Notamacropus eugenii: one gene and its partner. The protein of the gene in region 1 purifies or fractionates together with the protein of each later gene. This does not show direct contact. Links are inferred from orthologs where the notes say so. Each region holds a gene or a part of one and is shown in the gene's direction. Other genes may lie near its edges.

What was found. Proteins that work in one complex are often made in the same cells at the same time.
Region 2: the proteins of ACVR1 (region 1) and TGFBRAP1 purify together in Homo sapiens (co-immunoprecipitation; 3 studies listed by BioGRID and IntAct, counting the BioPlex papers as one, with this or other methods). This does not show direct contact. The link is inferred for Notamacropus eugenii from reciprocal best matches to the Homo sapiens genes ACVR1 and TGFBRAP1.

Annotation. Positions count from the first base shown.
Region 1 is NC_092876.1:216,757,552-216,764,474, reverse strand, and holds the start of ACVR1 (activin receptor type-1), read left to right. Parts: upstream 1-3,923; 5' UTR 3,924-3,938; coding exon 3,939-3,946; intron 3,947-6,923. UniProt on the Homo sapiens protein: Bone morphogenetic protein (BMP) type I receptor that is involved in a wide variety of biological processes, including bone, heart, cartilage, nervous, and reproductive system development and regulation.
Region 2 is NC_092877.1:200,324,913-200,331,882, reverse strand, and holds the start of TGFBRAP1 (transforming growth factor-beta receptor-associated protein 1), read left to right. Parts: upstream 1-3,952; 5' UTR 3,953-4,092; intron 4,093-6,970. UniProt on the Homo sapiens protein: Plays a role in the TGF-beta/activin signaling pathway. It associates with inactive heteromeric TGF-beta and activin receptor complexes, mainly through the type II receptor, and is released upon activation of signaling.

The DNA of each region.
Region 1 (6,923 bases):
AAAGGGAAAAAAAGAAATTTACATGATAACTTTAAAAGGAATTGCAAGCTGTACATATGATTTGCAGTTTCATGTACAATCATTTTGAAAAATTATACTGTTATGAAAATGCTTGCTTTATTCCATAAATTAAAAACAAAATAAATAAAAATTGTTTTTTTTAATGTATATACTTACTAGGTGTTAGAGAGACAAGAGATTAGGAAAGAAGAGATGTCCTGTAGCCTTTCTTAGGTAGGGAACAATTGTTCCTAGGTGCTGGAGAAACAGAAATAAAAAGTGGAAAACATTTTTAAAATTTCATTTATTTATTTATTTATTTGTGTTTTTGGAGGGAGGAAGGCAAGGCAGTTAAGTGACTTGCCCAAGGTCACACAGCTAGTAAGTGTCAAGTGTCTTGAGACTGGATTTGAACTCAGGTCCTCCTGACTCCAGGGTCGATGCTCTGTGGTGGCACTGTGCCACCTTGCTCCTCCAAAACATTTCTTTTTTTAAGTGAAAAAAATTATTCTTCAATTTGCACTTAGTTTATCACTTTTCTCTCTGAAACAGGTTTTTCATCACAAGTCCTTTGGAATAGTCTTGAATCATTGTATTCTTTCATCATTCTAATATTGCTGTTATTGTGTACAATAATCTCCTGATTTTGCTCATTTCACTCTGCATCAGTTCTTAAAGGTTTTCTCAAGTTTTTCTGAAACCATCTCCTTCATTATTTTTTAGAACACAGTAGTATTCCATCACAATCGTATACCACAACTTGCTTAGCCATTCTCCAATTAGTGGCATCTTCTAAGTTTCCAATTCTTTGCCACCACAAAAAGAACAGCTATAAATATTTTGTACATATAGGTCCTGTGAAAGACATTTCTACTGAGGAATACAACATGTAAACAGTAAGAAAAAGATAAATTAAGGAAAAATAGAGATTTTTTTTTTAATGCTAGCGATAATAGGGAATCTCTAAACTTTTGAACAAGAATGCTGCTCAGAGATGAAGATCCAGGTCTTAGAGTATATCAGTGGTTTTGTGGTAGAAGATGGTCCAGCAAAAGAGAAAGCGGAGAAAATGGACAAATAAGAGAAACCAGGAGAGACCAGGAGAAAGTGGAGGCAAAGAGTGTAATTTTTTTTTCTGAAAGGGAAGTGATTTAGGAAGATAAGCCCCCACCCACCACCCCCATTTGTCAGAAACTGGAACAGAGGAGATGAGGATGGTGAATGATAATACAAAAGAGATTTTAAGGTGTATAATAAGGATTTCACATTAGATGGTCCCAACTTTTTCACTTAAGTAAAGGTTATATCCTTCGAGATAAAGATTGGAGGGGAAGGTATATTAGGCTCCCTCATTTGTAAGACGGAGGGTTGTTAGAGTGAATGAACAGCTCAAGCTTTTATTGAATATCTATTACACTATAATACAAAGACAAAAAAGTCAAACAACCCTCTGGTCTCAAGGGGCATCTGTTTTACTGACTGTTCTGGGTTCATAAGACTCAACAAGCTAACCGAAAGAGAGTATCTAATCTGATACCTTTACTGTTTATACAAGGTATTCCAAAAAGTCTTAATGCAGTACTGAGCTTTTAATAGCTTTAAATGGCACTAAACTCTTGAAACGGACGTTAGTTAAGTGGCTTACCCACAGTTAAACAACTGATGTGCATCCTATGGTGAGTGGAGTGCTGGACTTCGAATTGGGAAGACCTGTGTTCATGTCCCGCCTTTCATTTCTTATGTTTTTAATCCCTCTGATCCTTAGTTATCATATGATAATGTCACAGGGTAAAATCTTACAATCCATAAATGCCAGTACTTGTCATAGTTACTGTTTTTATATTTGCTGTTAAGTATATGATTTGAAATTTAAACTCAAGTCTTTGATCCCAAATAATAGGACTTATTTATATAGGACCTCCAAATTGTTCTTCCTACTACATCAGGGATTCTTTACCTTTTTATATGTCATAGACACCTTTGGCAGTTCAATGAAGTGTATGGACCTGTTCTCAGAGTAATATTTTTAATTACACTGAATAAAGTGCATAGGATTGATTACAAAAGAAATTGATGAGATTGAATAAAATTATCTACCTATTTTTTTTTAAAGTTTATGGACCTTATTTCTAAAGTTCTGTAATAAATAATGAATGGGGATCTCAGGAAACAAACCAAAAATCTAATGCTTTGTTCATTAATTGAGGGTGGTGCTACAGTTTGTTTTGAAAATTCTGAGTTTTATGCTTGGGGACACCAGGAGATAGGTTAGACTTTTAAGTCCACTGCTGACCTTCTGGCCTTTCTCTATCCCTGGATTGCGCACGTTAGAAGTACTTTCTATCCCTGAAGCCTCTTCCTCCCATTAGCAACTTCCCCACAGAACATCCATTTTGAGAACTATCCCCAGATCACCCTGGTCTTCAATTTCTCCAGGCTACACTCCAGCTGGCTCTTTAGATTTTCTCTACAATGCCCCCTAAGTCATCTGGTTGTTGTTGCTGCTGCTTGGTCATTTCAGTTGTGTCTGACTTTTCATGACTGCATTTGGGGTTTTCTTGGCAAAGATATTAAAATGGTTTACCATTTCCTTCTCTGGCTCATTTTATAGATGAAGAACTAAAGCAAGCAGGGTTGAGTGACTTGTCCAGGATCACACAGCTAGTAAATGTCTGAGGCTGGATTTGAACTCAGGAAAACAAATCTTCCTGACTTCAGGCCAGGCACTCTATTCACTGTACAGCCTAGCTGCCCTTGGTACCCTCCTGGTACCTTTTTATTTTTCCCACCCCATCTCAGTTTTCTTTATGTATTGTCTTCTTCCATTAGAGAGTAAAGTTCCCGAGGTCTGGGACTGGCTTTCTGCTTGTGTCTTCCCAGCCTTAGCACCATGCCTGGCATATAGAAAGCCCTTAATAAATGCTTGTTAACTTGATATGATGTTGGACTTTTTAAGTGCTTTCCTACCCATGTGGAGGACTCTATAGCTTTGACTTTTTAACATACTGCAAAAGCTTTTTTACAGCACACTTTGAATAATAGTCATGAAGGACACCATCCTTAGCACACCCAGGCTGCCCTTCCTTGGTGTCCTTCATTCTCATTTGTACGGAACAGCTGTCTTGGATCTTGAGAAATTCTCTGCTATGGAATCTTCCCAGTACCTTTTTGAGTGAGGGAGGATGGTGTCCACCAGGGGCACAGGGCCAGGGCTTTTACTGATATGCCTGAGAGTTGTATTATAAGGTGCCTGTAATTCTAGGTGGTTCCAGGATGGGACATGAATTTCATTGTGTCTCATTGCATCTCCTTATGTTAAAAATGTGCAGCTACACCAACATTGACGTTCGTTTTGTTTATTCCTGAAAACATGGCATTTTGTTTTGCTTTTGGTCATTCAGCCTCATTTGGGGTGATTGTCAGCTGGGAGGTTGGCAGGAGGGGGAGAAGAGAAAGCTGCATTTTGGCAACCCTTCAAGAGTCGAGCAGCTTCCTGCAGCCAGGACCATAAACTGTATAATTTGTCCATGGAGGCCTATGCATTATAGAAATGAAAATTCCTTCTCTGACAGCATTCACTGCTTAGCACGCAGCAATTTGGCTGTCAGAAACAGCTGGCCCTGCAGGGTGGGACAATAGAAAGGCAAGACTGAGAGAGAAGGAAGTGCTTACTCAAATCTCCCACTGTGAGAGGATCAGGTTACTGAGTCCATCCTTACAACAGACAGCAGACTGCACGGGGCTCTAAGACACACAGCTTCAAGTCTGAGCAGGAGACTATGGTTCAGACATTTTAGTGGTGTTTTGGGATTTTTTTCTTTTCCTGAATGGAACAACAAAAATATTAAAAAAACAAACCTCCTTCATGGGTACTCCAAATGTGGCTTTCTCTTTGCATTAAGATATTTTGAGAGTCTTCTGCTTGGAGATAAGCATTAATGGGAAAGTAAGTCCTTTGAGCTCTTGCGTGTGTCTAATTCATTGGGGCAGTGGAAGGGTATGTGAGGGACGGGGAAAGTATTTCTTGATATATTTCATGCTTGGTCTAGAACTTTTTTGTTCTGTTTAGGAACAGTTTTTAATTGAAAGTGATTGACACAAATATGAGGGAAGACCGAAGCAAGAGGCTGGCCGAGGGCTCCTTCTGGGTGCGTTTTTGCTGCTTGCATGGGTGCACACTGTCTAACTGGCATTTATTTCTCTTGGAGGGAGAGAGAGGTGCCGCTGTCTTGAACTTGCTTCTCTCTCTGTGGGTCTGCAGCATGTCTGGCTTTGTGTTTTCCCCTATCGATTCCATGACTCACTGAGTGTGATCTAAGCAAAAAGCTTGCTTAAATGACAGAGGAGACAGCTGTCTGTTACAGGAGGACATATTTTCTGGGTTTAATGGCGCCAGGTTTTTCCTAGTAATGTACAGAGCTGTAAAGTTTCTACAGAAGGTTTTTTCTTCACTAAATGTTTTCCCCCAGTTGTGTTCCAAATTCTTAATAGTCTAAATATTAACTTCACAATGTGATGTGTCCTTCAGGAAAGCAATATGCTTCAGGTTTTTTTTTCTTTTTGTAGATTACTTTTCTAAGCTGATTTTTTTTTCATGTAAAAAGTATTTGAGAGAACAGAAGCCCAGCATTGCTGTGGAAAAGATATTTTCTTCTCCAGCTGAGTAGGGCATTGGAAATATACTAAAGTACATTTATTTAGGCAAGTTAGAGGGTTGGAATCTGGTAGTTGTTCAATTTATACTGTACTCTAGGTTTTTTTTTTTTTGAATTTTCCTTCTCCCCTTTAAATCTGTTTCCCCTTTATATGATAGAGGCTGAAGTTCCAGATGTTGTTTTGGTTTAAAGAGTGTGTGGAAAAAAAATAAGCTTTCTTAATGATAATAACAGAGTCAGACTGGCTGGTTCTGTACTGACAGGAAAATGGAGAGATAAAAACTCCATTAATGGTGCATGCACTGCCTAAGTAGCCAATAAAACAATGCTGTCTTCACTGGAAACTAGTCCCAGATTGGCAATGATCAGTGCCAACTGCAAAAGACAACAGCTGCAGAGCTTGACAAAAGTATTAGAGTAAAAAAACGATATATTAAATGATTTTTGAGAGGGGGAGGGCGGTTCTTTTGTTCTCATCTTCCTTCTCCTTCCCACCCTCTTTTCTTAAGTCCTGCTTAATACTTGCTCTTTTGGAGAGTTAACCATGTTTGATTGAAACTTAGCTATCAAAAGAAGAAAGTGATTCTCTGAATGAGTCAAGTTCAAGTATATTTGCTGAGGTTTGGATAGAGGGCTGTTTTTGACTAGGGACCTAAGTGCGAGTGTATCTTAAATTTTTAAAAGTGGCCTCACTTTTCACAAAAGTTTTATTTTATTCTTTAAGTTGGTAGAAGAAAACATTTTTTCCCTAGCTTTACTTCCTAGAAATATCTTCCATTTTCTGAGTGATACATTCTTTTTACTTCTACACCACAGGTATTATTTTATTATTTTCTAAAATGTAGCTCATTTCATAAGACATTATTATGTATTGTACAAAGTTTGTATTCATTCATTCAGTAAATACTTTTTGAAAATCTGTATGTGACACTGAAGTGTATACAAAATCCTTGGCTGAGGAGGAGGTTAAAATTTGGCAAGTAGACTACAACTTAATAATGTGCACTTTTTCTTTTCATTTTTAAATCAAATTTAATTTTTTCAAACAATGAAAATCTGCCTTATCTCTTCTCTCCCATTGAGAAAAAAGAAAAAGAAAACTGTTGTTACAAACATGTATAATCAAATAAAACAAATTCCCACACTGATCACATCCAAAAAACAAAAAAATCTTCAATCTGTACAATGAGTCTATCACCTCTTTTTCAGGATTTGGGTAGCTTGACGATCACAGGTCTTCTGGAATTAAATAGTCGTTGTGTAGAACTGTATTCTAAATCTTTCAAAGTTGTTTATTGTTTAAGTATTGTTGAATAATATGCTTTTCTATAGAATTTGGAACTTTGAAGTTTCTAAAAAGACTATTTGCATAAAATTAACTATAAAACAAAGTAGTAAGTCCTGAACTGCATAAATGTTGAAAGCCACAGTGAATTGTATAGGCATTCAGAAGAGTTCAGATACTCTCCTTTATAAGTATTTTGCCATCTGAGGTGTATCAGTGGATGTATGCAGGATGTGCAGATTAGAAACTTTAAATTACATGAGTGGACAAGATATAACATATAGGTTAATGTTATGTAGATATATTTGGGATGGAGATGTAGAAGCCTGTTGTTAATGTTTATCCTTTGCTATTGAGAGGTCCAATGATATCACAAGGGTGATGTCTTGACTTCAGTAAGAATTGAAGTGAGGCAGAATTACACAAAGTCTTCAGCCTCACCTCACCCTCTGGTTGAGCAGTCCAGTGGCAAGACAAAAGTTTGGATGACTAGTGATAGCTTAGGGTGCAGCGGATGACCTTGAGTTTTCTAAATTAAGGTCTTGCCCAGCCTTCAGTTTGTCTGACAGTGTGTGTGTGTGTGTGTGTGTGTGTGTGTGTGTGTGTGTGTGTGTGTGTGTGTGTGTGTAGGAAAGCTGCATGAAGGAGGTACAATTTGGGATGTTTAAATTGTAACTGATGAATCATCTGGTGTTATGGGGAGGAAGAAATACCCTAGATTTTGGGGGGCTCCTCTGGCTAGAGAAGATAGTAGTGATCTAAGTGGAAGAAGCATTGAGCAAGACAGAAAGAATGAACTGTGATATGAGTGACTTGGAAGTGAAGAATTTTGAAGGTGAATGAAACTTTTGGGTTTGATCCGTAAAACTAGACTAGAGTTTTAGGGAGGGGTTAATTTAGAGCTGGAAATAAGGACCATAGTACTCATCTAACCCTATTTCCTTTATTTTATAGATGAAGGAAAGGAAACCCAGAGAGGGTAA
Region 2 (6,970 bases), on another chromosome or scaffold:
CTTTGTAGGAAGTGTCTGATAAAAGTCTCATTTCTGAGATACATAGGGAAATTAATTATGTTTATAAGACTAAGAGGCACTCCCCAGTTGACAAATGGTCAAGGGATACAAATTGTTGTTGTGTTCATCCTTTGTTGCCGAAGAAGACCATGCCACCAGAGAAATGATGACATGACTTGCACTTGACTTTGTTTTGAGTGAGGGAGGGTGTGCAAGGTCACCAGTCTCGCTTTTTCCTCCTGAGCCATCTGGATCTAGTGACCAGATGATATTCATCAGGATGACTGGACATGGCCTAGGATGCAGTGGGAGACCTTGGCCCCTTTAGGTATATAAATAGGCAATTTTCAAAGGAATATGTGAAAGGAATATATTCAAAGGAATGTCACATGAAAAAATTTTCTCACTAATAATTAGAGAAATGCAAATGAAAACAACTCTGAGGTACCACCTCATGCCTATCAGATTGGCTAGGTTGACAAAAAAGTATAACAAAAGATGCTAAAGAGGATGTATACTAGGTACACTAATACACTGTTGGTAGAGTTGTAAACTAATTCAAAAATTCTGGAAAGCAATTTGAACCTATGCCTAAAATGCTATTAAATTGCTTATACCCTTTGATCTAGCAGTATTTATATCCCAAAGAGATCCCACAGAGGAGAAGGATCCCTAAAGGACAAAAATACTTATAGCAACTCTTTTTGTGGAGGCGCAGAATTGGAAACTGAGTAGGTGTTCATCAGGTGTTCAGCCAGGAACTGGCTGAACAAATTATGATATATGAATATGATGGAATACTAGTGTGCTGTAAGAGATAATGAAGAGGAAGGTTTTAGAAAAACCTGGGAAGACACATATGAACTGATGCAAAGTGAAGTGGGCAGAACTAGGAGAATAATTTATATAATAACAGTATTGTAAAAAGAACTTTGAAATATTTAGGAATTCTGATTAACACAATGACTAACCACAGTTCCAAAACACACATGATGAAACATGCTGTCCACCACCAGATAGAGAACTGATAGGTTCAAAGTACAAATGGAAGCATATTTTCTTTTCTTTCAAAAAAGAAATTTTTTTGGACATGACTAACGTGAGAATATGTTTTGTATGACTATGTACATTTATAATGGATTTTGCTTTTCTTACCTAATCAATATGTAAAAGAGAAGGAGAAAGGAAAAGAATTTGGAACTGAAAATAAAATAAAATTGAATTTTTTAATTGAATTGTGGTAGTTAGTGCCCCCCTTAGAAACTACTTTGCATGTATTTTGCATAGGTTTTTTTATTTACCTAAGTGTGTGTATATTTACTTATCTGTCCATAGAAACAACTTGGCCACAAGGACTTTTTAATGTTATCTTTGGTTCCCTAACCAAACCTGGCACATAGTAGGAACTTAGTAATTGCTTGTTGATTAATAAAATGCTTATTGAATTGATTATTGTTCAGCAGTTAGCTATTCAATATCAAAGGTGGGTTTTGAAACAGCATGTAGACCTGACAACTAATTATTAAATTAGTTTATATGGTAGCATTTATTTAATAGCCTGAAATTTGTTTAATCATCAGTCTCTTAGTTTACATCTCTTTCTTGCTCTGAAAAATCCCAAACAAGTCTAGTGGAGCCCATCTCCTAATGGATGTCTGGATGTTTTATTCAGGACTCATTTCTAACCCTATATATATTAATAAATGGACTGATTTATAAATTTGGTTGACATATGTTGTCAGTTTCAGTGAAGGAGATAGAAAAGGAAGCCAGGTTTCTAGGGACTGAGAAATGAGTGGGTGGCAAAAAAAAAAAAAAGTGGAGACAGCCAAGTATAGACTACTCTCTTTGGAAATTTAGCAGTGAATGGATAGGGACATATATGATAATAACTTAAGGAAGTGGCAGAGTCAGTGTTAGAGTTGTTTGTTTTGTTTTTTCAGATAAAGAAGACCTGAGCATTGCAGGAACAGCATTGTAGACTATATAAAGCAGTAACACTGGCACTGCTTCTGCCTTCTAATAGCAGATAAATGAAAATACATCATGAAAGCATTTGTATGTACCTATACAGGCAGGATAGCTATACAGCTGTTCTAAATTAGTCCCCTACTACATCCGTAGTCATGGACCTATATCTTACCACTGGACTCCAATGACTTCTGGGGGGAGAGGGAGGTTGATGATTTTGCACAGCTCTGCCTCACTTTGGGGGTGGGTATATGTGTGAAATGTCATTTTGCTTCCATTTAGGGAAGAATTCCTCAAGGAATGTGGGGTTTTAGGAGTATGAGAAGGGCATGGCATTTATTGATTAGTTGGTAGGCAGGGGAAGATGGAACAAAGTAGGCTCACTTGGCCCTTAGGCTTTACTGATAAGAGTTAGAGGACAGATAAAGTCATTTACCAACAGAGAAGTGTTTTGCCTCCTAGAGTGGACGTTGCTTTTGCCAGGAGTATCTCTCCTGATTATGATGACCAAGGTTGGCTTGGAAAGAGAAATGGGACACTAAGGGTATGGAACGCTACATATACTGTCAGATTCCACTAAAGTGTTGGTTAGTTTTACCAAACTGTTTTTCCCTCTGGCTTTTTTATTGTTATAAGGGATGGCTCCTTGGGTGATGGTGGGGAAAGAATATTTGGAAATGAAGGTCTTATTAAACTAAGTTTTCCCTCTTTTTTATTGTTATAAGGGATGGCTTCCTGGATAGAGGTGGGGGGCTCATATATTTGGAAATGAAGGTAATGAAAGAAATATGGCAAAATTTCTAAAAATTAAGAGTACACTCTTCTGACCATACTGAATTTCTTTCAGGCATCTATCTTTGTTACTCTGAGTTAAACTCTCCAGAAAGCAATGAATTTGCCTTCCCTCCCCTACAGAGAAACTCAGCATTTGTGGGGAGGTAGAGATGGGGATGACTAGGGAGAGGGCCAAAGAAATGACTTGCAGTCAAGAGCAGCTTTACGTCTTATGTCTAGAAGACTAACCAGAAAGGGCAATGCTTGACCCAGGGGAATAAATCTCTCACGGCATCTTGAGCCACTGGGAAGAAAAAGATTTGGGGTTAAGGTGTACCTTCCTAGAACTCAACTTTCCACAGAACCTTGAAGGTCCTTCCAAGTATTAGGAACCTTCCCTCACTTCATTTCCCCCACACTCCTTTTTGCCCTGGGTTAAAGTGGATGGGAGTGGGAAGCAAGGGGGAGGAAGGAGAAGAGAGAGCAAAGAGGATAGGAAGGACAGATAAAGGAAGAATAAAAGGGAAGTGGGGAGACAGGGGGGAGAGAGAGACAGAGAGAGACAGGGAGAGAGAGGGAGAGAGGGAGGGGGGGAAGGGAGAAACAGAGAGGGAGAGGGAGAGAGAGAGAGGAGAGGGAGGGAGAAAGAGGAGAGGGAGGGAGAAGGAAAGAGAGAGAGAGAGAGAGAGAGAGAGAGAGAGAGAGAGAGAGACGGAGAGGGAGGGAGAGAGAGGGAGAGAGAGAGGGAGGGAAGGAGGGAGGAAGGGAGGGAGGGAGGGAGAGGGAGAGGGGGGAGAGAGGGAGGGAGGGAGGGAGAGGGAGAGGGGGGAGAGAGGGAGCTGGGGGAGGCGGGGCCTCCGAGGACACCTGCCCGGCTGCGCTCCGGCGCTCGCAGCTCCAGGCACAGAGAGCACGCCCAGGTACCGGCGCCCTCACGCCCACTCCCACCCGAAGGACAGCTCAGGCCCTCCCCCAGCCCCCTCCATGACCCTCATCCTCAGCCGCGGGGAGGGGGTCGAGCGCGCCGGCCGGATGATCGGGCGCCCCTCTCGGCCCCTGTCAATCAGAGGCGGAGGCCGCCGTCCTGCCGCGCTCCGGGGCGGGCCCCCACGTGACGGGAAGCGGCGGCGGGGCCCGGACGGAGCCCCTGGGGGAGCTGCGGAGCCAACCCGGAGCCGGGCCGGGCGGGGCCGAGCCGGGCGGAGGGCGCGTGTGCGGGGCCCAGCAGTCCCGGGCCTCGGCGGCCGCCGCAGCCGCAGCCGTGAGCGGGAGGCTGGGCGCAGGAGCGGCGGCGGAAGGCGGCTCGGGGCGGAGCGGACCGAGGAGGCCCGGGCTGGGCGAGCGCGGGTGAGGAGGGGGCTGCGGCGGGGAGGCCGCGGGGCTGCGGGCGGGCCGGGCTGTCACAGCGCTGAGGCGGGGCGGCCGGGCGGGTGGAGGGCGGCCGGGGCTCTGGCGTGCGTGCGTGCGGGTGTGTGTGTGTGTGTGTGTGTGTGTGTGTGTGTGTGTGTGTGTGTGTGTGTGTGTGTGTGTGTGTGTGTGTGTGTGTGTGTGTGTGTGTGTGTGTGTGTGTGTATGCGTGTATGTGTGCGGGGGTATCCTGGGGTGGGGGGGGTATCGTGCGTGCGTGCGTATGTGGTGTCCTGGTGTGTGTGTGTGCGCGTGCGTGTGTGTATGCGTGTATGTGTGCGGGGTATCCTGGTGTGTGTGCGTGTGTATGCGGATGTGTGTGTAAGTGAAATTTAGGAGGGTGGGATTCAGGGTGTGATCTTGTGGTGTGTATGTGTGGGGCTGTGTGTGTGATTTAGGGTGGTACGGCGTATGTATGTGCGCGTGTGTTAGGTTAGGGGCTGTATGTGGTTCAGGAGGTTGGGACTCTGTGTGTGTGTGTGGTGGAGGGGGATGGTCCTCTGCATGTTTTTTTGTGTATGTGTGTGTTAGGTTGGGGGTGTGGTTAGGAGGATGGGACTCTGTGTGTGGGGGGGCAGTTAGAAGGATGGGACCCTGGATATCTGTGTGTTTGGGGGATAGGGGAAAGATCCTGGAGACTCATTGCTTGATTTGAAGTGGAGGTTGAATACTTTCAAGACGAGGAAAGAGAATGAAGAGACCCTATCAGGGTCTCTTTCCTCTATCCCTAAGGCTGTTTGGGAGCAAGGAAGCAAGTGTATATGAACCATAAGTTGTTCCTAGGCATCTTGAAGTTTTAGAATATTTAAGGTTTATCTTTGTCCCAATGGGCAAGAGAACCTCATGGATGAAAAGATAGCAAGTCCAGTGTTGAATTAAAATGGATGGTTTTTGAGGATTGAAGAGCTCAAAGCCAGAATCCTGAGAGATTTTTCCCATGTTGCCAGTTGAGGTGCAAGTGGTGAGTTAGTTTTCACTTGTAGTTGATACTACCTCCTCTTGAGTACAGGAAGCTTTCCATGAATATGGACAGAAGGCTTAGTTTTCAGGCATCTGTACTTGTCAACACGGTAGCCAGCACTGTATGGAATCTCCTTTAGCAGCATTCGTTCACAAAGCTACCAGGGCCTGTGGATTACCTGCTGCCCACTAGGATTCCATGGAGTCATCATTAATGTTAGAAGAAGGCATTTAGTTTTGTAGGTTGAAAATTTAACTGAGTAAGGGGTTAATCACTGTTGAAATTGCTGCACTGTGAGAAGCTTCATCTCTTTGTTTTCAGGGAGGTCAGCATGTTGGCATTATTGTATTTGTCAGATTAATGCATTGATAAATCATGTGTGTGAGTATAATAGCACTATAATATGAGATGTTTCATTTGTAGGTCAGAATTGATGTCTGAGAACTGGCTCTCAGCCCAAATGAAGCCTGATGTTGAGGCCCACGACTCATTTGTAATTTATGTGCTTCCTCTCTCATAGTTAGACCAAAACCATCTGAGCTTTACTACAAAACCTGGGGAGAAAACATTTGGACGGTTTTTGTCCTTTCCCCTTCCTTTTCTGCTTGCTGAGTCTACTTCCTTTGCCTCTTCTCTCCAAAACACTCAGTGAAGCCAGTCTTTTTTGGCTCAGCATTTTTTTTTTTTTAGCAGCTGCAGTGGTGTGGAAAGAGCATTGGTTTAGGAAATCAGAGACTTGAGTTTTAACACTAATTCTTAGGCTAACTACATTGACCTTGGAAAAATTCAGTTGATCTTTTGGGCCACTTTTCATTATGTTTGAAGTTAGGAAATTGAAAGACCTCTCAATTTCCTTCCAGCACAAAACTTCTTCGATTCTGTGTGCTTTGAGTGCTGTCTTTGATAATAAAAGATGGGTGGGTGTTTCAGAGTAAGTTCACTTGTGGATTCTCTAGCCTGATTTCTGTTTAGGCAGTGGTAAGTTGGAATAGAAAATATAACAACATACTTAGCTTTCATTCATTCTTCTGTGTCATTTTCAGTCATGTATTTATTTCTGCAATAGTTTTTGTTCAACTTTAAGGTATTGTTATTATTAGAGATCATCTAACTTGACCTCTTATTCAAGGCTCAAATCCTTCTTAATAGTGGTTCAGTCTCTGCTTAAATATGTCCAGTCAGAGGATACTCAATACCTTTAAAGTGATTTGTTTCATTGTTGGGTAGCTTTAGTCACTGAATTCTTTGAAAATGAACAGAAACTATTACTCTTTTAAAATGCTACAACATCAAATTCCAATGTTCTACTGGCCCCTTTATTGAAGGGAACTGAAGTCCAAATATATTTAAAAGGTTTTTTAATAGACCCCCTTCTGCTTGTATTAAGAATTTAAGATTCTCTTAAAGGAAACTCTAGGTATTTTACTTAATGAGTTTAAGCCTTTTCATCTTGGTTAGAATCCAGTTCTCGTTAGAAATACATTAAAGTAATTATTTTCTGGAGCCAGGTGTTTGAAAGATATTCAGTAATTTGGCCCATACTTTCAACCCATTTCCTCTGTGGCAAGCCTGACCAGTTTTTCTTTATTAAAACAAACAGACAAAAGAAACACTCAAAAAAAACCCAACCCAAATCAAACAAACCCTGCAGAACTGCATGAATGTAGAATAATTTATATTGGCTAAGGTTTTCTAATGTTAAATATTAATACAAAATTTACTCTGTCTTACATAAGAAAAAGCTAAACCCTGGTTTCAAAATATAAAAGTACCATGAAACTGAGATACTTCCTTAATAGCATAATCTAAAGTAGCTAATTCATTAACTGTTAAAATTGTAGCTTGAAAAAGGGTACA